4 linked regions of the Caenorhabditis elegans genome follow. The protein of the gene in region 3 interacts with the protein of the main gene of each other region in a pairwise test. Each region holds a gene or a part of one and is shown on either strand. Other genes may lie near its edges. The genes, in order: F53C11.5, mat-1, ftt-2 and emb-30.

Region 1 (7,992 bases), on a different chromosome or scaffold from region 3:
TTTTCGAAAGGTCTTTGCATATTGAGAAAATTTTCCACAACACGTATAGTAACTGTTTTGTCGGTAAAAACCAGTAAAATACTTTTGCAAATTGGTCAGTTATCCCCCGTACATGCGTATTCACTCATCCGAAATCTGGTTTGTGATCGAAATAGCAAAAAAGTGATCGTACTCACAAGTCGTTCATCATCTTGGCGCCGTGTGTGTTGGCCTTCAACAAAAAAATCCCTGGTCACATGACATAGGACAATGAGATGAAAGATCTTTCCGAAATGGGTGAGAGAAGAATGGGATATAAAAAAAAGTTCAATATTTTATTATTGAATTCAATTTTAGCTCGTTTCCAAAATCTGCTGGTTTTTCAACTTTTGCATTGAATTCGTGGTAAATAACAGACAAAAAGTCTAACGCCTCGACCCGACATTTTGCGATCATCTTTCCGTTTTTGCACGGGCCGCGAATAAAATAAACGATCGATGATCAATAGAAAAGTGTTTGTACTATACGAATGGCTCGCTTCAGAGTCACTATCAGCTCGTTTTTAAAGTTTATCGGTCGAAGGGAGCCAATGGGGCGTTTCAGACAATTTTTGAAAAAAAGTGCAAAGCGATTATTGATATTGACAGTAGCAGCCCTATGCGTCAGAAATTGAAAAAAAAACAACTTTTCTAAAATAGATGTATATTTACATCGATAGAAAGACGAATATAGTGTTTATTAAAACATTATTGCTCTCTAGCATCTGAAGGGTGGTGTGATGTATGCGCAGAATGTTCTCGGCGTTGTGAAAAGTCGATATTTGCGGGCGGAATAATTCTTTGATGGAGGAAAGAAAACATCGCTTTTGAATGTGAAAAGAACGGAGGAGTGGCTGAAAATAAGTGTTTTTCTGCATTTGCAGTCGGGTGGCGGGTGTTGCGAAAGTACTTACACTTCCACAAGCCGGGCGGATGAAAATAATACAATGGAACGGCTTGTAATAGTATCCTACAAAGAACCTCGGGGAAAAAAAACAAGGAATACGAAAAAAGACGAAGGAGAAAATCTTCGTCAAAAGCTCAATTAGTGATGGCGAGAGGAATTGGCTGAGATCGAAAGAACGCAAACGGGAATATGTATACACTTCAAAGTCTAATCGAAGATGAGGAGAAAGAAGAAACGGAGGGACGGATGCTAGTAAAACACAATTTGGCCGAGGGTCTCGAAGAAAACGTCCTATACACAATTTAACAAAGTTTTCTTTTGTTGAGCTCGCGAGCGGAGAGACTGCAAAATGTTGTCTATGGCCGATTATCATATTGAAAATTGATTTGGAAAGGAAACTGATAGCTCAAGGTGGCCTAAAATGTTGCATGGCTTATGCATTTTTGGAAAATCTAAAGAGATGTCTAGTGTTGTTCAAAATTTCTAATAGAACTGTTTGCCAATTGTTGACCAAAGACTCTTGCTCGGGCGGCATTCTCACGTATATCTAGGAGTCTAACATATTTTCTCTTCATCGTTATCATCTATACGTCCGAACCATCACGTGCTTCTCCTTTACTACATATACGAAGATTGGACGAAAGAAAGAAGTGAGGAGAAAGAAAGAGCGAGCCCAGGAGAGGAATTATTTATTGAACCGAGGTCTCTGCTTCAGACTCTATGTTTTCTCTACTTCCATCTTTTTGTCTGCGTCTCGACGATACATTGAGTTGTCAATAGAGCGGTGTTTCAACACCAACGGCAACCATCCCCCGACGGAAAGGAGAACGATGGCTGTGGCCGTCCACCACTCAAATTGATCGGCCACTACAAGCCTTTGTTCATTCGGTTGGGAGACTTCAGGTCTGCGTCTCCACAACACCCAAACACTATATTAGAGTATTTCTCTTTGCCGATTTATGTGCTGGTGAATGAGAACAAACTGACTAAGCACTTTATTCTCCCCCTATTCCATCATTTTATCACTTTTCATCCTGTCTTATGGACAATAATCAGAGGTCGGTGCCGAGTTCGCCGGCACCAGGTCACGGGTCTTCTGGATATTTTTCTCAACAGGTATATCCATCGTTCATATTTTATTCCGGTCTGATCAGTTTAATTGAACTGTAAACTATGAATTAATAGTTTAACCTTCTCAAACAATTGAATCTCAGGAAAGTACCCATCACGATGAGCGAACAACACCTCCAACAGCTTTTCATTTTCCGGCATCACATCAAGGACAGCCGGCACCTGTAATGGGCCAACCACCTGGTTTGTCACTTTCTTTTCATCGGTTCATTGAGCTAATGCAAGCACCCAAGAGCCATATTCGAGATAAATACGACACAAATATTTCGTAATTCACGTGACCCACACCTAGTTCCGGTGGCTCGTATTTCAAAAGCTTATTTATTCCGATCTCGTAAACTGCCAGTCAACAAAATTTCGTGTAAAAAAATTTTGATTTTCATTGAAACCAATGAACCTGAAAATGTTCGTTAATTTCACGCTCGATTACTCTTATTCTTCGTTAACTTTTCTCGATTCTTTAATACAATTCCTTCCACAAATTCTCCCAAGATATCCATCTAGCTCAACAGAATTGAAAATGAGCCAGAAAACGGGCAATATGGAGCTCACGAAGAATCCTCCTAAGAAATTGGCTCTCATTAGAAATGCATTGGTTTTCTCTTGTCGAACTGTGCACAAAGGACAAGACATCATTCTTATTTGACCCCTTCTATGTCACAATGCTTCCATCTTTGTCAATTACTGATCGATGGTTGTGAAGAGAAAAAGTCACATATACAGAAACAGACACAAAAAACCGGTTTCACAAAGAAATAGAGACCGACACACACACAAAATTTGACGATTTATGGCTGAACATGAGACATAGTGTGCCATTAAAAACAATCATTACTTTTTATTAACATCACTTCAATTTTTTGTCCTTCTGTGAAACTTTACGCGCGCGAAAAACGTGTCTTTTTGAATATATATCTCATTTATATCTGTGAGGTTTGACCTAATCATAAACCAATTTGATTGCCTATATAAACTTGTGTTGATTGTGTATTGAGTGAAAAGCTACATCAGTTGTATCTATAATTTTTGAAACTTTTCAGGCTACCCAATGCAGGCGCATGTTCTTGTCGATCCGGTCACAGGACAACATTACATTGTTCCACAGTACTACCCACCTCCAATGTATCCATATCCATCAGCACCACCTCCACATCCAAATGCTCCAATGTATTATCCATATGGTCATCATGCACCATCTCATGCTCCGATGCCTTCACAGAAAATTCTACCGCCGCCTACTACTTCGGCTCCGAGTAATTCTGGCAACAATTCTAGTGAGTTTTTAAGATTTTTTAAATTACAAAAAACTGCTTTGAGATGAGCTGAATCAGGGCTGAATTTTAAAAAAAGTTTCGAAAATGAAACAATTAAAAAAATAAAAAAAGTTTAATAATTTATCCGTACTTGTGCGTTAGTTTTCGAGTGTTTTTTTTTCGGAAAAAAAGTACAAAATTGAAAAAAATTAATGAGATTTTTCCTTTTTTCATGTTTTTGGCGAAAATTTTAATTTTTTTGTTTTTTTTTTGAAAAAATGTGAAAAAAAGGAACGAAAAAAGCGAGAAAATTGTGTTAAATTTTTATTAAAACATTATTCAAAACAATTATTAAAAGAACATTCTAGAAAGTAACGTTTCAAGCTTTAAAAAAAATAGTTGTTTCCTATTTTCGTTACCGGACATAAAAATGAAAATTAAATTTTTAAAAAAGAAGAAAGCAATTATTTTCCGGACTCAGGCGGCAGAAAACAAAAGTTTTCGTTTTTTTCCCCGAAAAAAAAATCTAAAACTAAACTTTTCGCCAAAAACACGAAAAACTAGAAATTTTCAGCTCTGATGCTAATATTAAATAATTTTCAGTTAACTATATGGGAGTTCAAATGTACAATAATCCAGTTCAAAGTCACGAGGAAAAAGAAGGTTCAGAAGATGCAATGTCAACAACTTCAAATATATCCAGAAGTTCTTTAACACTTATGCAAAATCAGAAAGTACCACCCACGCAACATCAACAACAATTTGGACGAGAGAATAGTCGAGAATACATGTATTTACATCGATCCCCAACTACAAATCCTGCTCCACCATCACCCTTAATGCGTCCCAAGCTGTTTCATCAACGATTAGAAACTGTTACCGATTCACGTGGCGGAACACAATCGGATTTCGAAGGAAAAACGCCAACGATGCGACAGAAATCAGTTGATCATCAACCATCATCGGCGTCAGATCATGAATCTGGAAAACGATTCTCGAGAACATCGTTCGGAACGCCAGCAGCAGCTGCTTCAATTGAAGAAATTGTGAAAAGTTAGTTTTTATTCCAAAAAATAAAAAAAGAAAAATATAAATTCAAAAATATAGCTTTTTTTTTCAAAAAAAAGCACAAAAGTTTTGTTGTTAAAACTTTATTAATTTTTCACTCTTATACAAAAAATTAATTCTCTACATGAAAGGAAATTGGCCATAATGTCTGAATGTAACTGTAGTTTTTAAAAATCGGAAAATCGAAAAACGAAACATTTCGATTTGACTTTTTATCTAATTTTGTTTATATTGATGAGAAGAAACATAACAATTTATTTTAAAAAAACAATGACCAAATTTTAAGCTAATTTTTTAAAAATCGAATTTTTGTTTCGAAATATCTGAAAATCGGAAAAAAAAAGAACAGCCATTTTTTGAAAAATTCTGTTTCTATTTTCTGTCATTTGAAGAAAAATACTTTTTTTTCACTCTTTAAGATAAATTTGAATTTTCAGCTGTCAACCCACCTGCAAAATCAGTCCGAATGGAAATTAATTTTGCCGATGTATTGTCAATGCCAAGTGAACCCAAACGTAAGATTTTTTATCCAATTTATAATAAAAATTATAAATTTTCTAGCAGCAAAGAAGTCCAATGCAACAGCATTCACGGTAAATTTGGGAGAGGAGAAAGAAGTATCTTTACAGGAAGCCGCACGGACTCTAGCTGAGGTACTCAGAAAATTTAACTGTTTTGGAATTATTAAAACTTTCAGAATCGTCGTAAAGTAAAGCTTGCAAAAAGTGCATCTCATGACCGCACCCCTTCAACCCCGGATGCCATTGCAGCGAGTAAAACCAACAAAAATTACTTGCTTGAAAGATTGTTGACTGGAAAAACTGCAATTGATAATAGCAATGAAGAAGAATACGTAGAAGGAGAAATAGTAGAGACACCAGAAGAACAATTTGATGCTCGATCGGAGGCTCTCACTTTTGTTATTGGTGCGTTTGAATGATTTGAAAATTTGAAAACATTGCGAAATATCTAAAAAACCGACCATAAATTGTTGAATATCACATGAAAAACGAAACGATGCAATAAAAATCCAATAGAAATTATCTAAATTTCCATTGTTTTCGAAGAGTTGTTTGTTTGATGTTTCCTCACACAAAATATATATTCAAAATAGAAATTTGATTGTCTGAGAATTATTTTATTTTCCAGACACATCAAAACGAAACAACGGTGGTGGTTATGGAGGACAAGCACGTTTTCAACAGCAACGAGTTGTACAGTACTCAGATGATGATGATTCTGATAGTGATAGCGAGTAAGTTACGGAATTAAATTTTTTTTAAATTATTAAATAATTGTTACGGAGAAAAATTAAATTGGAAAATTATGTTATTTCCTGAAAAATAAAAAAGAAAAGAAAAAATCACACTTTGAATTTTCGAAAAATTATTTTAAATTAGTCAGAGATGGTCTAAAAAAATGGTCGTGATTTTATGTGATTTTTTAACTGAAAATATACGGTATTTTGGAACCGAAAACTTTGTTTTAAAATTTAATTGTGAACTGAAATATATTGTTTTGAGATATTGTTTTAACGAATTTTCAAGAAGTTTCAACTTGGCAAAAAAAAAGAAAAATCATTCAAAAAATTTTTTATTAATTGTTTTTACGGATATATTCGGTCATTTTATGACCCATTTTCATAACTCCATTAATAACTCCATATTAAGATTAATTAAATTTATTTTAAAATTTCCAGATTTATGGATCAGTATGCCAATTCTCAATCGCCAAGACCCTCTCAACCACTTCAAACAATTGCACCACCACCATCACAATCATCTAATATTCCACCACCGTCTCTCCCTTCTCCCCGTCCTTCCGCCCTTCCAGCTCCTGGATTTTCTCGCCAAATTTCATCGGCAACTACACTGACGGCCCAAGCTCCTCCTCCTCAAGCACTGACGTCTCCACGAACTCCATCGACCTCCGCCTCTCCACGAACATCATCTCGATTCGATCGATCTGGTGGTGGAGGTTCTGACTTTTTGCAAGAACTCGCAAAATTGAGAATGATGGCCGGGCTTCCGGCTGCTGGTCCAACTGGAAGTGAAGCTGAACAGAAGGCAATGATGATGGCTCAACAACGACCAACGACGACGTTCAGAAGAAGTGAAGTAAGCTCATCCGCACGAGCTCCAACAGTTTCTTCGTCGCAAAAAATGGTTGGACTTGGAGAAAGAGGAGGATCAAGAGCATCGTTTACTGGGAAATCGAAGGAGACTAATACTACACCAACACCAACGTAAGTATCTGGAAATTATTGAAAAAATATAAAATTGTTTTAAAAATTATATTAAAATCCAAGTGGAAGAATTCCAAAAATCGTGTTTTAGATGTTGCACAAATTTCTCGATGAATTTTTTATTACCAAAATCAGGGTGGTTGCAAAAAAATTTATTTTTTTCATAATGCTAACTATCTAAAAAAAAAACATTTTTGAAAAAAATGTGTTTTTTTTCGGTCCGAAAAAACCAAAAAATCTATTGCCAACAACACAAAAAAAACGGCAGCTCTGTCAAAAATGCGAAATTTTGCATCAAAAAAGGTACCCGGTCTCGAATAACCGTTTTTTTAAATTAAAAATAGTGTGATCTTTTCGGAAGTATTGTAGCGAAATTTCACTTCCTTGATATATTTGTCAGTTTTAAATTTTGATTATTTTTCTTCTTCCAGACGTCGAAGCGAGAATCGTAGATCCCTGACCGGAAACTCATCTCCACAACTTTCAAATCTCAATCGTCCTCCATTCAAACCTGGAACACAACGTGGAATTATGATAGGACAAAGTGAGCAACAAAGGGAACAAGAGATGACTGCATGGCTTAGACGAAAAGATTATAATCCGATGAAGGCTGCGGCAGCTGCAAAAAAGCCTGAAATGACAAGGTAAATTTCCAATGTTTAATTCCCATCTTTACACCATCATTATTATAGAGAACAACAATTCACATCTCGTCGTTCAATGACTTTCCATAATACAAATGAAGCACAATCACCATTTGGAAGAGGACCTTCTGGAATATTACCATCTCGACCAGCTCCACGTAATAGATCTCAAGAGCCACGAGATATTAACAATGAAAAGTATCGATCAGTACAAAAAGATCAACGATTGAAGCGTACAGTTGATATGCTATCTCAAAAATGCAAGAAGAGCATAGAGCTTATTAGAATTCAAAACAAAGGATGTTTATCAGTTTCTGTAGAAGATCTTTTATCTGCAGCTGCTGAAGAACCTCGACTCAATGAGACACTCGATGATCAGCTCGACAGATTGTCGGATGCTTTCGATGCAGTACAAAGGTATTTTCAATCAAATTACTTGAATTGTTCAAAATAATAATTTTCCAGATATTTGGAGCAATATTCGCTTGACGGATACAACTCACCAACTTCAGAAGATCGATATTTTGACGATGATGTTCTAGATTCAAAATCGACATTTTCTGGTGTGAGGTAAGATTTTAAGATTTTTTCTAAAATAATTTTCAAAGCGTCATTTTTTAAATATCACTATAGATTAATATGTTATTTTTCCAGCACTCATCAAGAACGAAGCAATGTGCCATCAACGGAGTCGTTGACCAGTTCCTACCGAAAGAAAATTCTTGAT
Region 2 (5,349 bases), on a different chromosome or scaffold from region 3:
AGCGTTGCTAGTCTCTTGTCAGGATAACGAAAAAGCAAAATCTCTGATAAAGCTCATCGCTACAAATTTGATTGCATCCGATTTGATTGAAGACGGAGTTGAACTATTGTTCTTGGTCGGAGCTGGTGGAGATGCTTGCAAGTATCTACAATCACAGAAATTATGGACGAAAAGTATTGTATATGCAAAGGTACGTTAACAAAAAAATAATCTGTATAAATTAATTTTATAGATGGGATTGGACGATCCTACTGAAGTCGAGTCAAAATGGATCGGACACCTTGCCGACGAGGCTAAACAAATTCGTGTTTTAGCCGAAGCATCTCGTCGTAATTGGCCCGACGTTGTTGAAGCGACATCCTCTGCTGATGCTATTCTAGCTCGATTGATTCTACGAACAACCACATCCACTCCACCTCTGTCTTCTTGTCCTACACCGTGATTAATTAGTTTTTTCGTGTTTGGTTGTGAAATAATCACTGTGTAAATAGCGGAAAGTGATATATAATTTAAATTCTAATTTATAAGGCGAATTTTGAAAAGCTTGTGAATATAGATAAATGGGTTCCTGCTTTACAATTTAAGAATTTGACAAAAAATGAGTTTATAGTCTCAAAGCATTTTCTTCGACAGACTATATATATATATCCGCGATTAGTATAGAACAGAGTAAAAGTAAAAAAGAAAGAAAAGACGAGTGAAAAACCCGCGCCAAAAAAGACGATTATAGCACGAAATTGGCTATGATGAGCTATCGAGAAGTAGAACGAGTTATGAAAATTATACTGGCGATCCGTACTCGTCGTCCTCGTATTCCTCGCGATTGATAACATTCGAGTCAGTGATGTTCTGCTCGCCACGTGGATCCAGCTCAGCCGCCCAGCTATAATTAAGAAGAGCCAAATGAGTATTTCCCATTCTTCGGTGAACTCGTGCTGAAAAATTCAAATTTATATAAAATAGTATAACTAATTTTAATACGTACCAAGCAGATGGAAAATGAATGCTTCATCTGGCGAACTAGCTTTCAATTTATCAAGTTCCACTAGACATTCTTCATTTCGATTCGCCTCAAACAAGAGACGTGATCTATTGAAACGGCAAGCCACATCAAGAGGATTCAGAGTGAGAGCCCTGTCAATCAGCACGAGAGCAGTATCGATTTGTCCACGTTGTTGCTCGATTTGGGACAGTGTGCAGAGCATTGCACGATTCGTTGGATTAATATTAACAGCCTTCTGGATATTGGTCAGTGCAGTCAGATTTTGCTCTTTCTTTAGGTGAACCAACCCGAGACCATACCAGGCACGGTAATCGCGAGGAGAAAGGAGAAGTGCTGATCTGAAAATTTAATGTTTTAATTAAAAACTTTCATGATCCTATAAATACCTGAAAGATCCCGCAGCTTTGTCAAGTTCATCCTGAACGATAAGCTCATGCCCCAATAAAGTGTATGCGTAGGCGAATCGTTTGTCAAGTTGAATAGCCCTCTCCATACATTCAATTGCCTGAGTATGCTGTCTTTGTAATGAGAAGCAATTTCCAGCGGCACACCAACTCTGTGGCCGTTCCCGTGATTCAGTTGTCAAAATCTGAGAAAGAGCCGAAAGAGCATGAGTATCTTGAAGGTGCCACATTGAGGTGGACAATAGCTCGGTTCCGTCAACCTTCCACTTTCTACGTTTATGCAAATCATCGAGAATGTTCCGGCACTCTCTGTATTCGGATTGCTCGAAGCAAGCTCTTCCCAACTGAAGACGGACCATAGACGTGTTAAGAATGATATCTCTATCGAGTTTTGCGAATAAAGCATCAGCCGATCTCCAATTGTATGTACTGATTGACTCTTCAATAAGTGCAATGTGTTGATAAACATCAAATAATTTCTCTGAAGAACAAATAAAATCATTAATTTTTGATTAACTGATTTCATACTGTATTCTGGATCGTAAACTCCATCGACAATATCCATAGGTTCATCATTGTTCAAAGAAGAAGCCACAGAAGGGAGAGGAGGATTGATCTGGGATACCTCATCTTCTGATGGACGCTCACTAGCTGTTGATGCCACCTGAAGCTGCTAATAATTGAAGAAAAATAACTGGTCATTATATTCTTACAGAATTGGTAGAACCCGACAAACTCCGTGCAAGATTTGAGTTTCTGGATACCAAAGGTTGTTTTTCATTTCGTCTTCTTTGACTCAGAGTTTTGGCAGTCTTGTTTGCAGCAGCGGCGGCGTCAGCAATTCTGATTGAAGTACGCACAGGATTGGTCTAAATTTAGAAAATTATTAATTTCAGTGTCCAAATAAATGTTACCCTCTGGGACGACGATGACCCTCTGGTAACTGATGCAATTCCACTCCGAGTTCTCGTATTCGATGCATTCGAATTCTCCGTATCGCTGTTTAGTGCAGCACTGAAATTATTGAAATAAAATTTCAAAATCTGTCACCACTCACTTTGCGCGATTTCTAGAGCTATGTGTAGCCCTCGTGTGTGGTCTCTCGGGTTCTGTGAATAACGATGATCGAGATCCAGTGACTGAAGATTCGGTACGTCGTGTCGTCATTTCACTGATTCTGGAGCTTTTTCTCGGGGCAGTTGGATTAATACGTGAAGGTGTGGATCCAGGAGTGGATTGTCTTGGAGTGATGTTTGATGTGGTATCTGTAACTTTTAATTTCTGATTCAGCATGATCTTTCAAAAATTTTTAATAGTGGATTTTGAAAAATCGCATTTTTAGAGTCGGATTTTTTTCTAAACTGATATTCCAAAATTTTATTCTCCAAAAAAGAAAATCCTATAAATACTTCCTATAAATTTACGGAAAATTTTTCAATAGTTTTTTCCGCTTCACTCACTTCTTGTCTCGCGATTCGCCGAAGCAATCGTACCGCGTGTAGATCGTCTGACCGAACTTTCCAGTCTGGAAGGTTCAGCAGTGCTGGCAGCTGAAGAAGACGACGGCCCAGGAACATTTGGTGATGGTGTTTCGGATTTCAAACTCGAAGCTGGACTATCCAGGTATAGACCATTTCTATAAAAATGTCGGCATAATATTTAAATTTAAACATTCTCAGAATCTTACGATTTTCGGTGATGTTTTTCAAAAGTATGGGCGAGATCATGACCTCCAAACCGTAAATAAGTTATGATAGCTGACCACAACAAAATATTCTCATCCAGAGACTTTTGACAAGATTCTAAAGCCAGATCCATGTAACTTTCATCGCAAAGCATTTGAGCATGAAGCAAATTAGCATGTGATGCAACCCGTGGCTCTTCCAGGATATCTTTCCGTATCACTCCATCGTCATGTTCGAAAAGAGCTCCTCTACAGTCATCGATTCTAAAGAAAAATTAAAATAATGAATAAATATACATATATATTACAAACTAACTTATTTAAATCGTAGGATACCCTTGCAAGTAGATAGAAGAGTCTAGCTCCGCTCAATTTAACTGAACTAAGGAGACCATAACATTCCTCTTTCTTATTGGCTCTATACAGACAATCAGCGTATAGAAGAAGAGATTCGGAGTTGTTGCCTGAAAAAAAGTTATTGAAATTAAAATATGAATTAAAAACGAAAACCACTTTTATCGGTTTCGTAATGAAGCTCGGCTAGAAAAATAGCATCATCAAAAGCGTAACACTTCATCATTTCATGAATCTCATCTTCAATTGTTCGGTGTGCGTCCGCTGGAAAACGCTCGAACACCTCTCTCAATTGAGGCCGCACAGCTACAGACGCAGCTGATTCTTTCATTCTCTTCGCGACCTGAAGAAACGCTAAATAAACTATTAAATCGAGAAAAGCGGTGATATTCAAGAAAAGAGATATCGGCGAACAAAAGGGAAACGAAAATCAATTTGACCATTTCTCAAATACATCCCTTAGGTTATTGTATCGATTATACTGACAATTGAACTCAAACTTTAAAAACTAAAAGTGCCAAGAAATCGAAGAAAAATTGATCAGGCGTTCACATTAAATGAGGATCATTTGAGTTTTATCGATTGGTTTCAAACAAAGCTTGGAAAAAATGCAATAGTTTGCCAGCAGGCATGTGAACGTTGTATGAATCGATTGCCGAGAAAATGTCATCGAATTGAAGAGTAGATCATTTCCAGCGAACTGCAGCAATGAAGAGAAACGAGAAAGACGGGGAACGGCGTACAACGTGAACTTTTGCGCCCGACTACAGCCGGCGGCGGCCGGTCTTCAATTGTCGTCAGATGAGGTGCATTGCGTGCTTTTGTGTTTGCGGAGTCGCATACCGTACTTCGCAATCCTAATGTTTTTCGAAATTGTTTTTTTTCTTTTTCTTTTCTTTTTTTCTTTTTGCCTTGTTCATTTTTTCTTTTAACTAAGAGAATTGAAATACTATTTTAATCTAAAATTTCAGTTAATCTTTAAACTACCTAAAAATGTCGTTGGCTGAAGAACTTATGGCTGATTTTGACGATGACGACGATGAGGATTTGGAAGACATTCCAGATCTCGGAGAAAACCTTAAGGTAAATCGAATTTAAAATTTAAATTATTTAAAATCTAGAGTTTTTGCAGCATCTGATAAAATTGTAATTTTCAGGGCGTCAAAAAGGAAGAACTCGATGATGATATTGAAGAAGCAACAGAAGAACCGATGGATACAACTAAATATGCATCAGTGCACGATGTAGCAAAGCTTGCCAGATCTGATGAGTTAGTTTTAGTTTTGTTTTAATATATAATTTTAAAATACTTTTACAGATATTTAGCACTAGTGAAACAATTGGAAGTTGAACTGAAACGGCCTCAGGATGAAGTGAAGGTGACAGCTCCTCTTGAAGCAGATCCACAATACAAGCTTATTGTTAAATTATCCCACGTAAGTACATCATGAAAAAGAAACAAAAAAGGCAATGATTAATTTCAGGTCGCTGCAGATATCGACAACGAGATCAATGTGATTCACAAATTTGTTCGTGATAAATATGAAAAGCGCTTTCCTGAACTAGAAACGCTTGTTCCTAACGCGTTGACCTATTTGGCTACTGTACAGTTACTGGGAAACGAGATCAACAGCAAGGTAGTGAAAGAACAACTCGGCGGAATTCTAGATGCCTCAACATGCATGGTGGTCAGTGTAACAGTCTCAACAACACAAGGAGTCAAGCTTGAGCCAAATGAGCTGGAAACCGTCATGGATGCTTGTAATTTGGCTGCTCAACTTCATGTCAATCGTCTCGAAATGCACCAACTTGTAGAATGGCGAATGGCTCTGATTGCCCCGAATCTGGTTGCTTTGCTCGGCTCAACTACTACTGCCCATCTAGTTTCACAAGCCGGAGGATTG
Region 3 (3,889 bases):
ATATTATCGGCTGTAAAAACCCCAATTTTTTGGTTGTTAGCTGGCGCCGCCACCTGGCGTTGCAAATGAAACCTACCCGTCCAAATAAGTAGTTTTCAAGTATGTCACTAACCAAAATTTTGCTATATCTGTAAAGCCAATTTAACTAGAAATAAACCTATGAAAGTGTCATGTACCGGAGATTTAATCCAGGACTCCACCTTTTCTTATTCCTCAATGAATATGAACATTAAATTCTAGTTTTCATCTTTGTTCATATCTATAATAAATGAAATAAATTTTGAATTGAACCTTAGCAAGTGCCTAAGACGTAGTAGTTATCTTGGTTAAGGAAGAACAACCTGCAATAACAAGATGTCGCTAAAAGAAAACGTTCGTTTCAGTTTTCTTTTCTCATTCGAACTTTGTTCAATTGCACTAATTTTTATACATTTGGATGTCAATCGGAATCCTCCCCTCTTAATATTTCTTCGACGTGATTATCTGCGTTAATTTCTCATATTGAAGTTGGTGTTACAACTTTATTATGTGTATTCAAAAGCTTGGGGGTGTTTCGAATGTCGAGATTTGAAAGGGGGAAAAGCCGTAACAAAACGGAACATTGAATTGTATGGGTAGAGACGGGAAGTTTTGATGAGTGGGCTCAGCACAGAAATTTGAATAACTTCTGCATTTGGTTGATGGGAAAAGGGGAGTGATTGATGAATTTATAGAAAAAAATGGAAAGAAAAACGATGGTTTAACTAGTCAATGGTAATAAATAAATCATATGACAAATAGTATTATTTATCATTTTCAAGATCGAGGTGAGGGGTGTGTGGCGGTAACGTGTCGGTGTGAAGGAGTTAGTTGCCTCCCTCTGTCTCGTTGGCATCAGTGTCATCGGTGGCAGCGTCCGAGGTCCAGAGAGTCAAGTTGTCACGGAGAAGCTGCATGATGAGGGTAGAGTCCTTGTATGAGTCCTCGTTGAGGGTGTCGAGCTCAGCGATGGCGTCATCGAAAGCCTGAAAGATTAAAGGTAATCAATAGCTTTGAAGTTACGATGCTATGTCAAAAACTTAACGAGCACCTGCTTGGAAAGCTGGCATGCTCTATCCGGGCTTGCTGCTACTTCATAAAAAAACACCGAATAATTGAGTGCAAGACCAAGGCGAACACAGTTCGTTGGTGACAGATCTTTATTTGCAATTTCAAGTGCCTCCGCGTAAGCCGTTTGTCCAATGTTGGCTACTGCTAAAATAAAATAAAAACATTAACACACCTGCTTGGCAAGCTGGCAAGCCTTGTCCGGGGCGTTCAAGATCTCATAGAAGAAGACAGAGAAGTTGAGAGCAAGTCCCAGGCGGATTGGGTGAGTTGGTTGCATCTTATCCTTGGCAATGTCGAACGCCTCTTGGTAGCTTTGCTGCGACTTCTCGACAACCGCTGCAAAGAAGGAATATTCATTTCTGGTCTTCTTTGAAACGAGTATGACTATGAGAGGCAGAACTCCCTAGAGGAGAACCCCCAATGAGCTGCCCTAGAGTTTATTTTCAAAAACTACGCATCGATGTGGAATTGGGTCGCGCCTGAACTCCCGTTCTCTGTCTTCCCTATGATATCTTTCCACACTTCACACAAGGATGCATAGCTTACGAATGAGGGTTAGAAACGAGTGCACGGTTATGTCCCAATTACAGTCATCATTTTCAATCACTTACAGTTTCTGTCGTCTCCGGAGGCGACCTCAGCGAGGTAACGGTAGTAGTCTCCCTTCATCTTGAGGTAGAAGACCTTGGACTCGGCGGCTCCAGCCTTTGGAATGAGGAACTTGTCGAGCAAGTTGAGAACGTCTTGGCAGATGTCGCGGAGCTCCTTCTCAACCTTCTCACGGTATTCCTTGGCCATTTGTTGCTTCTTCTCAGATCCTTCGGTCTTCTGCTCAATTGAAGAGATGACTCTCCATGAAGAACGACGGGCTCCGACGACGTTCTTGTAGGCAACGGAGAGAAGATTGCGCTCCTCGTTGGAGAGCTCAGCTCCCAGCTCGGTGACCTTCTTCATGGATGCGGCCATGTCGTCGTAACGCTCAGCCTGAAATTAAAGTTTTAGTATTCAAGAACATCCTGAGACATCTACATACCTGCTCGGCAAGCTTGGCGCGGTTCACGAGCTCTTCCTTTCCGTCAGACATAGTTGATTTAGTTGCTTGAAGTGGATGAGTCACTGAAAAACGAGAATATAAAGAGTTTGATACAAAAAGGTCAAATGAGAAAGAGAAGAAAGAGGGCGGTAAACAAATGAAGATTGTTTGAAGAAAGCAAAGAATGGCTCCTTTCCGTATTCTTATATGATATGAAACTGATGGGACATTTTCATCTCTTCTAACACGAGGCGTATGAGCCCTTGTAGAAGTATACACAATGCATCAAGAAGAAACGAGAAGGACGTTGTCGAGCGAGTAATGTTGAACAGAGTGAGCGGCACCCCTCCCAGCCCTCCCTCTCGTTTTCTGTGCGTCTCTCCCTATCTGCCGAAAGGAGCGCGCACCATCATTTTAGGGTCTGTAAAAACCATTCAAACTGCGAATTTCAGAATAAAAATTATATATTCTGAGAGGGGAAAGTCTGTTTCATCAGCTAAAGTGAAGAAAATATAAGTTTTGATATCTGTGTTTAAAAAGAGCCGTTTGGCGCGCTACAAACACACAATTGCGGAGTGATTCGAGGGGGCTGCCAACAGAAAACCGCCGCCTCCTACGACTCATAAAGGGTCTCTTTCGCAATGTGTCAACAAGAGCGCGCACCACATTTCTTCTTTGAAGGAAGTCAACATAATTTCAGATATATTAGATGAAAATTAGATATTCGGGTTCGTCTTTTTCCGGGCTTTTAGTTGACTAGAAACTCGGCCTAAAATCTTGAACTTTGAATATTTTTGTGCAGAAAATAGGACGAAAACATCGGACATGCGGAGGCTTCTAGGGGGCTGCCTTTTGCCCACCCACCAGGCGCTCGGTCGTCATTTGAAGTCGCTCTGTTATTCAAATAGAAAGAGCGCTCACCATAACTCTTTGGGCCATAATTTACCTTCAAATTATCTTGAGTAATGTATGGTCTGAAAATTTGAAAATGTGACTACAGAAGCTTGCCGTTTTCAAAGTTAAATGATGATTCTTGCATGTTCCTGGATGTTTCTGGAAACTTGGAGCAAATTCAAACAATGCGGCAGCGCTTTGGGGGCTACTTTGACGACCGCTGCAGACTTGTTCTAAATCAATGACCAGCGGCGGTGGGCTCGGAGGCTCGGAGCTGATGCGGTTGGCTCTCGCTTCACAACAGCCTAGGATCGAATATGCAGGGCGCGTAAACATGCAGGCAAAACAGGCTGATAATCGTGTTACTTAACTTGAAAGTGCCTGGTATTTGCCTTAAATTACAAAGGAGATTCAGAAAAATAATTAGCATGATAAATTTACAATTCTAAACTACATATAAGGCCAGGTTCTATTCATTCTTTTCATTAATTCATATGTAGAATTTTACAAAAATGTTTATTACAATAGTATCTGTAATTTTTCCTGATGTTTCTGAAACTGTAACTGGTATTTTGTACAAACATCCATATCAATTAGAATTGGTGTCGCGGAACACATCCGACTGTTGTTTGATCTTCATTTTTGTTGTCTTCACTTCCGATTTTCGAGGAAGTACATGTACATCTTCATTCTTCCTATCCCGAAACCTTTCAAACCCCATTCTATCAAAACAGAATTAGGAACAACAGATGCGTGGTGTGGTGCGCAACTATACAGAGACCTTCAACGCAATTTACGTCTTATCTATTCCACATCTTCTTTCACCGTGCAGTGAGGTATACTCTTACTCATCAATGAGAACTGTTGTCTTAC
Region 4 (8,011 bases), on a different chromosome or scaffold from region 3:
GATGAATTATTGAAAACTTGAAAACTTTGAAACTCAAGCCTTACATTTGCATCAAACTAAAACTAGAAGAAACGAGTTTTGACTAAAAACACGTTTATAGGTGCCCGCAAAAAGCAAAATGAGATTGTAAGAGGGAAAGCCAAGAAAAGAAATGCAATAGATTGGAAAGGAGAAATAATTTCAAAGTAATACGAAATATAAACATAGAAATGCAATAATTTATCCATCGATTGGAAACTAAATGTCATCATCTTCTTCATCCTCATCTGATTCTCCATTATCCGTCAAGTCACGTCCACTATCCATAGCTTCTTGAACAAGAACATCATACTGAACATCATTCATGTTCATTACTCCCATATCTTCCCGATATCGTTCTCGACGTCTCTGATAGTCGCGGAAAGTTTTTCGAACAGTCTTCTCCTCATAGTCAGCGATCGGTGGAACCTCTGGTTTCATGTCTCCAATCGTGATTTTACTTCCGTCATCGTGAAGATAGGCAGCCAGTTGAATTGTTGGATGAATTATTAAGGTTTCGATTGGAATTTCTGAACTTCCATCTTCAGAGCTATTCTTTGCAAATACATCTTTATCTTCTGGGATTTCATGAGGATATGAAGATATTGATCGCATCATTTGTGACATCACGCCAGTTCCTTCCTGTGCGGATGTGAATTTTCCCTGAAAAATGTGATTTTGTGGAATCATAGTAATTACTAATCAAAATACCAATAAAACAAGTTCTCCATGATGAAGGGGGTGAACTTGACTCAATTCGATGAGAGTATCGTACTCAGGTACCTGAAAAAAATACGTTTAAAAATTTTGTTTTTTAAATCGAGGCGCAACAGTGCTCCACTTTCAAAAAAAAATGAGAACGCTCCGCCCCCAATGATTGGGTCTCGTTAGGTATTGACGGGAAAACCGAAAATTAAAATTTTTTAAAGCATTTTTGTGATGTTTTTCGTGTTTTTCATAATTAAAATTATCCGCAAACAAACCACTGGTCCAAGATCCACATCAATTCTCAGCTCGTTACTATCCACTTCCATTGCATCAGTTTCCCCTGGTGGTCTATTCTCGGCGCTCGATTTATCAACTGTGACATCAATTTTCTAAAAAAAAAAGCTTATTTAAATGTGAAAACTTTTATATATAAAATACCTCAAACTCATAGCATCTCTTCAGCTTCTCAACATGATCGTTCACTTCATTTTCATCTTCAGGCAATACATCACTCGTTGGTACAATGACGATTGAGCTGAATTCATTCTTTTGAAGCACAGACACTTGAATTGATCGTCTGAAATTAGAAATAAGCAATAGTCAAAAATATTTGGCTTTTAATGAAAAGATTACCCCATTCCAGATAATTGATTAAATGGATGTCTTTTGTAATATGATGGAGTGACACTGCTGATCTTTGCGTCTTGATATCCTTGATGGGTAGGTGTTGAAGTAATTTCATAAATGAATGAAACTTCCAACTTTTTCTGATTTCCAGCTTTATCACAATGAATTTTCTGAGGAGAAGATAGTGTGGCAGCCAAATCTTCAAGGACCCGTAGAATTCTAAAAAATTGAATATAAAATTATACTAGTCAACTTCCAATTTCTCACCCCATTTTCTGAATCTCTATTGAATTCATACGACTTCCTCTTTCATTCAGAACACAATCGAATGTTTCATCGCATTTTGGAAGAACTTCTAGCGCTTTTTGTGACAACTCTTTCTCGAAAAATGAGCCAACTCTATCCAAATCACATGCAGGTTGTGGTTCTCCTTCTGGTTCAGGCTCCTCATCCGGTTTTTGCTCTTCTTGCTCTGGCTCTCCTTCGTCTTCTTCAAGAAACGGGGAAGAATCATTTTGTTCCATCATACTATCAGTAAAAATGTCAATAGGATGATCCAATTCTTGAAAAAGCAATGGAGTCAAGTCGTCATCATCTAGATCGGCAAATCGGAACTTTTCGTGGAATCTGAAAATATATAAATTACAAATTGAAATTGGAATATATTTGAAAAATAATAATTTTTGGTAGAAAATTATTGTGGTATTTGATATCAGGGTGTCAATAAATCTATTATCTTGGTGAATATAAAAAATTGAAAACTGCTGTAAGAGCTTCAGAGATTTTTTTTTAAATTTTACACCAAAATTCTTAAAGTTCTTGATTTTTGAGGTTTTTTCGGGAATCTTATGATCCAGTAGCAAACACGATGCCTCGGGTGTTTCCAACAAATCTGGGGATTATAGGGGTTTTTGGCATCCTGATTCCAAATATCTCAATAATTTTCCGCAAAAAAATTCTGAGTTTCAGAATACTTCAAAAATTTAGAAGTCATGTTACAAAACATACGTTTCGATTAATTTCTTCCTTTCAACTTCGGCAATTCTCTCAAGTCTATAGAGATATTCAACCTCATCAAACTTGTCTTCCAAATCTTTTTTCTTTTGCTTCGAAACCAACTCCTTGAGGTTGAAAAGTCTGTTTTCGATATCTTTCACTGCTTCTGGATCCGGAATGAAATTTCTCACAATGTACTGAAAAAAGTGTACTGTATAAAAGTAAAGGATATAAATGGCTTACAAGCAGAATTTTTGCAATGTTCATTCTTTTTATTTTCATCAAAGCATTAACTTTCATCGTTTTTGCAAATGGTTTTGTCATGGATATCCATTTGACGAGATGTCCAAGTTCTTGCCTGAAATTTGGTTTTTTTAAATTATCATTATTGTCTACATCTAGATCGTCAGATTTCTTACATCATAGTCAAGCATTGAATTCCAAGATGACGAGTTTTCATATCAAGAATATTGATTTTCTCTTCCAAAGTGTTCAGCCAAATATTCGATTCTGACAGGTATGCTGGCGGATCCTCATCATAAAGAAAACTGTCGTCATCTTTCAATTGAATAAACTTTGCATAACGAGATAATGATGTCGAGAATTCACATCGCTGGAAGCACAAATTTCGGGCTGACGTTGAGAGTTGTCCCCGAGCAATACGACAAACTTCCCTGAAAACCGATTAAAATTAGTAACAAATAATATATTCCAGTTGCGAAATGTTGCGCTTTTTACGACAAAACTACCGTAACGGGTCTCGAAACGACGAGTTTTTGTTAAATGCGAAAATGGTGTGTACCTTTAAAGAGTACTGTAATCACACTTACATATCGGGTTTGCTCAAGTTTTTTTCATGATTTGTTTAAATTTTTTTGTTTTAATTAAAAAATTTCTTAAGGAAAAACTTTTTAAAAAATCAATTAAAATTCCGCTGTGTTCTTTAAAGGCGCTCATCTCTTTGCATTTAACAAAAATTGTCGTGTCGAGACCTTCACCCAAAAATCGCAACATTTCAGGTAATATTACATACGGCATGTGCTTCGTTGCAAAAAGCTCAATTTTATCCAATCCATCAGTTCCGAGACCTCGTTCAAGAAATGCCTCGCCAGCCGCATCTGTCGACCCGGAGAGCAGCATTTCGAGAAGCACATTTCCAATTTTTACAGCTTTCGTTTTTGTATCGAATAATGAGTGAAGATTGTCTATTTGCTCTTCCCAATTTCGTTTTGTAGTTTCCAGAGAAATGCTGTACAAGTTGAAGCCAAATAGAAGGCGAATGTATCTAAATTTATTTTTAAAAGTAAATTGTTCGAGCTTATCGCAGAAATTCAAAAGCTTACCTCAGCGCAGTATCCCAAAGCGACGAATTAATATTCAATTTAACATTGAAAAGCAGCGTATGACATCCTTGGCCATCTTTTTTTGGTTCAGCTCCAGGAGGCTTCAACTCATTTTGTTTGCAGTCCAGAAATGGCCCATATGTAGTGGCGAGAAATGATACGCCACCAAACGCTGAACTGTAGTGCATATCGTAGAGCATGAGAAGGCTTTGATTGTATTGTAGAAGTGTGTCACTGATATCAATTTCCATATATGGGAACACACCAGCAACAAGTACAATAATCTTCGAATCCATGTCATCAGTTGCTAGAAGGATCGTATTTTGAAGAGATTCACGGAATGTTTCAGTTGAAATCAGAGTTCGCTCGAGACTTTCTTTATGTGCATCTTCGTGTTTGAAAGATGAACCATCCTGAAACAAAATTATTGAGGAACAGTTTTTTTTTCATTGAAAAAAGTCAGATTCTGTCGATTTTTTCAAATTTTAATTTCGAATAGTTCATGTGAAATTAATTAAACAATTCCACGGAAAATACCACGTCAGTAGATCTGATATGGTCGAATTTGATTGAAAAATCAATTATTTCTCTCAATTGTTTGTTGCAAAACACGTCGATCATATCATCAAGGTTAGTTTCTTACCTCATCAAGCCTCTGGTATACGAATGCGATTTCCTCTTGACTGATGTTCGGTGTCGTTTCTGCCAATTCGATAGCTCCTTCGATGGCTTCAACATCTGAAATTTTCGATATTGATTAAGGAGTCTCTAATTAGAATTAATTTCAGATGATGTTCACAGCAAAGTGTGCCATGCAAAACATCAGAAACGTGGCGATCGTTGGATCAGGGCAGATGGGATCGGGAATAGCTCAAGTTACGGCGAGTAGTGGATTCAATGTGATGCTGGCCGATGTTAATAAAAAAGCACTTGATAGAGCGATGAAGGCAATTAGTCAAAGTGTGACGCATCTTTCAAAAAAGCAAAAAGGAACTGATAAGGTATATATCGTAATTGTTTGAAGATTCTCATTCTTGTTTTTTCCAGGAAAAGTCGGATTTCGTGACTCTCACAATGTCACGTATCAAAACGTGTAACAATGTGTCAACCGCCGTTGCTGATGCCGATCTGATCATCGAAGCCGCCATTGAGAACATCGATTTGAAGCGGGGAATCTTTGCCCAAATCGAGCAGTCTTGCAAGAAGGATTCGATTTTGACCACGAACACTTCATCGTTCCTTCTTGAGGATGTCGCCAAAGGATTGCAAGATAAAACTCGCTTCGGAGGACTCCACTTCTTCAATCCGGTGCCAGTTATGAAGCTTCTCGAGGTAATTCGATCTGATGACACTTCGGATGAAACATATGCAACGCTGATCAAGTTTGGAACAGCTGTTGGAAAAACAACAGTCGCTTGTAAGGATAGTCCTGGATTCATTGTCAATCGTCTGCTTATTCCATACTTTTTCGAAGCAGCGAGAATGTATGAACGAGGAGATGCATCAATGACCGTATGTTGATTTTCAGCTTTCTAAAAACTCCAAATATCGTTTCAGGACATCGATGAAGCCATGAAGTTGGGAGCAGGACATCCAATGGGACCATTCGAGCTGGCCGACTACATTGGTCTCGACACGGTCAAATTCGTCATGGATGGATGGGCAGCAAAGTATCCAGAAGTACAACTATTCGAAGCAAGTCCATTGGTAGATAAGCTGGTTGCCGAGGGAAAACTTGGAAGAAAAACTGGTGACGGATTCTACTCGTACAAGAAATAATAGGAAAGATTACTTCTGTTTTTTGATAGAATAAAACATTCTTACTTTTGATTCTTGTAGTGAATTCTCCAAGATTGCTTATAAATGGCTTCTCACGAACACAATTCCAGTGGAGTTTGGCGATTTTTTCGGATGCAGCTCTGAATTTCAATAGATATTTCGAACTATTATATAGATCTCTTACTTGACTGAAAATCGAACTTTTCCCGTTTCCACATCTAACAAATGTATTATGCCTTTACTTGTAGCTGCTGCGAGAAAGCGTCCATCCGGTGAAAAGTGCAATGCAGAAACAGAGCTGTCCAATTTACATTCGGTTCCGACAGCTTGAATCATATTGATATTGGTCTGAAATATCCTGATTTGATAATATTTTTGAAATCTTCCTGTTACCTTCCAAATCATTTTCCATGATGTTCTTTTCAACAATATTTCGCCAGTTTTCGATCCAAGAGCGATGAGATCATTTTGCGAACTGAAACACATACTCGACACTTTGAATGGTGTGCGGAATGTCCGCCTATTATTGAGAATTTGAGTTTTGACTATTGAAAAGTCCATCTGAAATGAAGAATCGATAGTAGGGGTGCCTGGTCCGTAGCTCGAACAGGTATTCAATATTCAAGTCCTAGAAATTTGAAAGAACACAACACACAAAATGGAATTATCACAAAGTTCATAAAAATTGATTAATTATAACAATATGAATAATGTGCGTAGTGCACGTTTAAAGTCAGGTACAAGAGTGGAACGATAAAAGATCAAAAGTTGAACAGGGAGAACATTGTGGAGACGAAAATGATTGAGCAAAATGATTCACAAAGTCTAAAAAATTTAATAGAAGAACGAAGCACTGCCTCCTAATCTCTGGCACTGCCGTGACTTAATGCGACCTCTTCTCGAATAGCTTGAATTTCATGGAATCTTCCGCGTTGCATAACCTGCATGTACTTTTGCATTCTATTCCTTCGTGCACGTCTTTTAGATGATACTGATTGCCCTTTTCCTGGTTCTGTTTCCGTCTCTTCTTCAATCTCTTCAAAGTCTTCCTCGAACTCTTCTTCTTCTTGTGGTGTTCCTTCTGACGGCTCAGGTGGTGTATTGGCTCCGTTTGCAACAGGTTGATTGAGTTGAGCGTATTTCGATCTCTGCAAAAAATTACTTGGTGAATATAAAGATGTGATACTCTATTACCTTGATAGCGAATCCCCAGTGGTGCGGTTGTGGTTGTCCTGGGTCCACGGATACTCCGTTTGGTGAATTTTGATAGTCGGTTCCAGATACGCTGGCAGCTTGACTTCCCAACTCGCCAATAATTGTATTAATGAGCACAATATTTTCATGTTCCACAATTTCACGGTGTTTTCTCTTATTCTTCTTCTTTCTTTGGCGCTCAGACGAGTCGGAATCCGAATCCACTTGTTTATCTCGCTTGTCTTTAGCAGCCTTGTGCAAAGCCATCACATATGCTCCCTTTTCAATCGAATATCCTCTGGCTTGTTCGAATGCGTCAATTGCTTCATGTGAACTCCATCCAAGCCGGTCAATCAAAAAACGGCAGATCAGATAGCCACATCGATTAATACCATTAGTGCAGTGTACTCCAATCAAAGCATCTGGATCGTCGCATTTGTCAGTATAATCTTGAATTACTTGATGGAAGGACTCAACGCAATCATCTCTTTCGATAAACCTGGAAGTTAATTTTATTAGTTTCAATACGGTATCTGGTGATTTACCCTCTCCCAGGACAGTTGACTTTCTCATATTGTACACACATGCCAGTAATATCCTTTTTATCATAGTATCTGTCCGTGTCTGATAAGTCGACCACTAATCCAAGGTACTGACCACGTTCCGATAACTGAAACAAAATATTGTTATGTAGGGAAAACAATGTGTCCAGTTTACCTGTCGAAATAAATCATTTGTTGTGAATCTCTGCTCTTTATGAATTTTCGTGGATAACTGACTGTTGATTGGTGTCTTGAAAACAATGAATCGGGTTCGTGGAATGACATTGCCAACCGGTTGAAATTTAGACCAGCTGAAAATAAAACATGAAACTTGAGGTTAAAACATGTAAAGCAATAACAAGTTTTAATCGCTCACACCTAACTGAAATCGTGTAGGGCAGCGACTGCAGTGGTTTTTGAAATTTTCTCATTCAAATCATTTCAACTGCTCTCTCAACCGCCAACATACACGCATGTTCCTAATTTCTTTATATTTAAAACGAGACGAAGGAATATAGGCGGTAGTGAAACGGAGAATCAATGCAATGACCACAAATGTTATCGAAAATATAAAAAATATATCAATGCCAAATCCAAACAGCGTTTCATGGAGTTTATCTGGCCTTCTGATCTGGCAGTCTCCAAGAAAAGCTTCAAACAAGACCAATAATAAACAAAAATAATGAAATGCTCACTCTTTAGGGACTACTCGGCACACGCGCACCATTTTTACTCAAAAGGGCAAGACGAAAACAAACGGAAAAGTATGGATTGGGTTTGATACGCGTGCTGAATAGTCGAGTA

Evidence for each region.
Region 1: the proteins of ftt-2 (region 3) and F53C11.5 interact in a two-hybrid assay, tested with the Caenorhabditis elegans proteins (one large-scale study listed by BioGRID).
Region 2: the proteins of ftt-2 (region 3) and mat-1 interact in a two-hybrid assay, tested with the Caenorhabditis elegans proteins (one large-scale study listed by BioGRID).
Region 4: the proteins of ftt-2 (region 3) and emb-30 interact in a two-hybrid assay, tested with the Caenorhabditis elegans proteins (one large-scale study listed by BioGRID).

Annotation. Positions count from the first base shown.
Region 1 is NC_003283.11:13,787,922-13,795,913, forward strand, and holds the start of F53C11.5 (Zf-C3H1 domain-containing protein), read left to right. Parts: upstream 1-1,965; coding exon 1,966-2,040; intron 2,041-2,138; coding exon 2,139-2,238; intron 2,239-3,095; coding exon 3,096-3,329; intron 3,330-3,911; coding exon 3,912-4,361; intron 4,362-4,813; coding exon 4,814-4,891; intron 4,892-4,937; coding exon 4,938-5,029; intron 5,030-5,073; coding exon 5,074-5,302; intron 5,303-5,525; coding exon 5,526-5,631; intron 5,632-6,075; coding exon 6,076-6,621; intron 6,622-7,052; coding exon 7,053-7,265; intron 7,266-7,313; coding exon 7,314-7,682; intron 7,683-7,730; coding exon 7,731-7,835; intron 7,836-7,919; coding exon 7,920-7,992.
Region 2 is NC_003279.8:5,123,412-5,128,760, forward strand, and holds mat-1 (Cell division cycle protein 27 homolog), read right to left. Parts: upstream 3,791-5,349; 5' UTR 3,777-3,790; coding exon 3,605-3,776; intron 3,556-3,604; coding exon 3,408-3,555; intron 3,356-3,407; coding exon 3,095-3,355; intron 3,044-3,094; coding exon 2,868-3,043; intron 2,673-2,867; coding exon 2,465-2,672; intron 2,422-2,464; coding exon 2,322-2,421; intron 2,277-2,321; coding exon 2,121-2,276; intron 2,078-2,120; coding exon 1,936-2,077; intron 1,889-1,935; coding exon 1,390-1,888; intron 1,342-1,389; coding exon 986-1,341; intron 936-985; coding exon 781-935; 3' UTR 504-780; downstream 1-503. Other genes in the region: Y110A7A.9 (WD repeat-containing protein 11), read left to right, coding at 1-190, 233-442; prp-31 (U4/U6 small nuclear ribonucleoprotein Prp31), read left to right, coding at 4,439-4,528, 4,603-4,715, 4,764-4,881, 4,930-5,349. UniProt on the Caenorhabditis elegans protein: Probable component of the anaphase promoting complex/cyclosome (APC/C), a cell cycle-regulated E3 ubiquitin ligase that controls progression through mitosis and the G1 phase of the cell cycle.
Region 3 is NC_003284.9:11,603,208-11,607,096, forward strand, and holds ftt-2 (14-3-3 domain-containing protein), read right to left. Parts: upstream 2,213-3,889; 5' UTR 2,174-2,212; coding exon 2,123-2,173; intron 2,074-2,122; coding exon 1,701-2,073; intron 1,426-1,700; coding exon of another isoform or gene 1,262-1,425; intron 1,234-1,261; coding exon 1,070-1,233; intron 1,005-1,069; coding exon 846-1,004; 3' UTR 501-845; downstream 1-500. UniProt on the Caenorhabditis elegans protein: Required for extension of lifespan by sir-2.1. Required to modulate lifespan, in concert with hcf-1, acting redundantly with 14-3-3-like protein par-5. Promotes nuclear export of yap-1.
Region 4 is NC_003281.10:9,435,427-9,443,437, forward strand, and holds emb-30 (Abnormal embryogenesis protein 30), read right to left. Parts: upstream 6,035-8,011; 5' UTR 6,033-6,034; coding exon 5,865-6,032; intron 5,820-5,864; coding exon 5,656-5,819; intron 5,612-5,655; coding exon 5,517-5,611; exon of another isoform or gene 5,472-5,516; coding exon of another isoform or gene 5,250-5,471; intron 5,205-5,249; coding exon of another isoform or gene 4,740-5,204; intron 4,694-4,739; coding exon of another isoform or gene 4,484-4,693; exon of another isoform or gene 4,481-4,483; intron 4,431-4,480; coding exon 4,336-4,430; intron 4,323-4,335; exon of another isoform or gene 4,273-4,322; intron 4,106-4,272; coding exon 3,693-4,105; intron 3,635-3,692; coding exon 3,383-3,634; intron 3,024-3,382; coding exon 2,769-3,023; intron 2,708-2,768; coding exon 2,593-2,707; intron 2,547-2,592; coding exon 2,362-2,546; intron 1,981-2,361; coding exon 1,621-1,980; intron 1,573-1,620; coding exon 1,360-1,572; intron 1,304-1,359; coding exon 1,165-1,303; intron 1,116-1,164; coding exon 1,002-1,115; intron 802-1,001; coding exon 730-801; intron 682-729; coding exon 238-681; and 2 more. Other genes in the region: putative 3-hydroxyacyl-CoA dehydrogenase F54C8.1, read left to right, coding at 4,484-4,693, 4,740-5,204, 5,250-5,471; putative tyrosine-protein phosphatase pir-2, read right to left, coding at 6,332-6,619, 6,666-7,164, 7,211-7,335, 7,383-7,518, 7,903-7,934. UniProt on the Caenorhabditis elegans protein: Probable component of the anaphase promoting complex/cyclosome (APC/C), a cell cycle-regulated E3 ubiquitin ligase that controls progression through mitosis and the G1 phase of the cell cycle.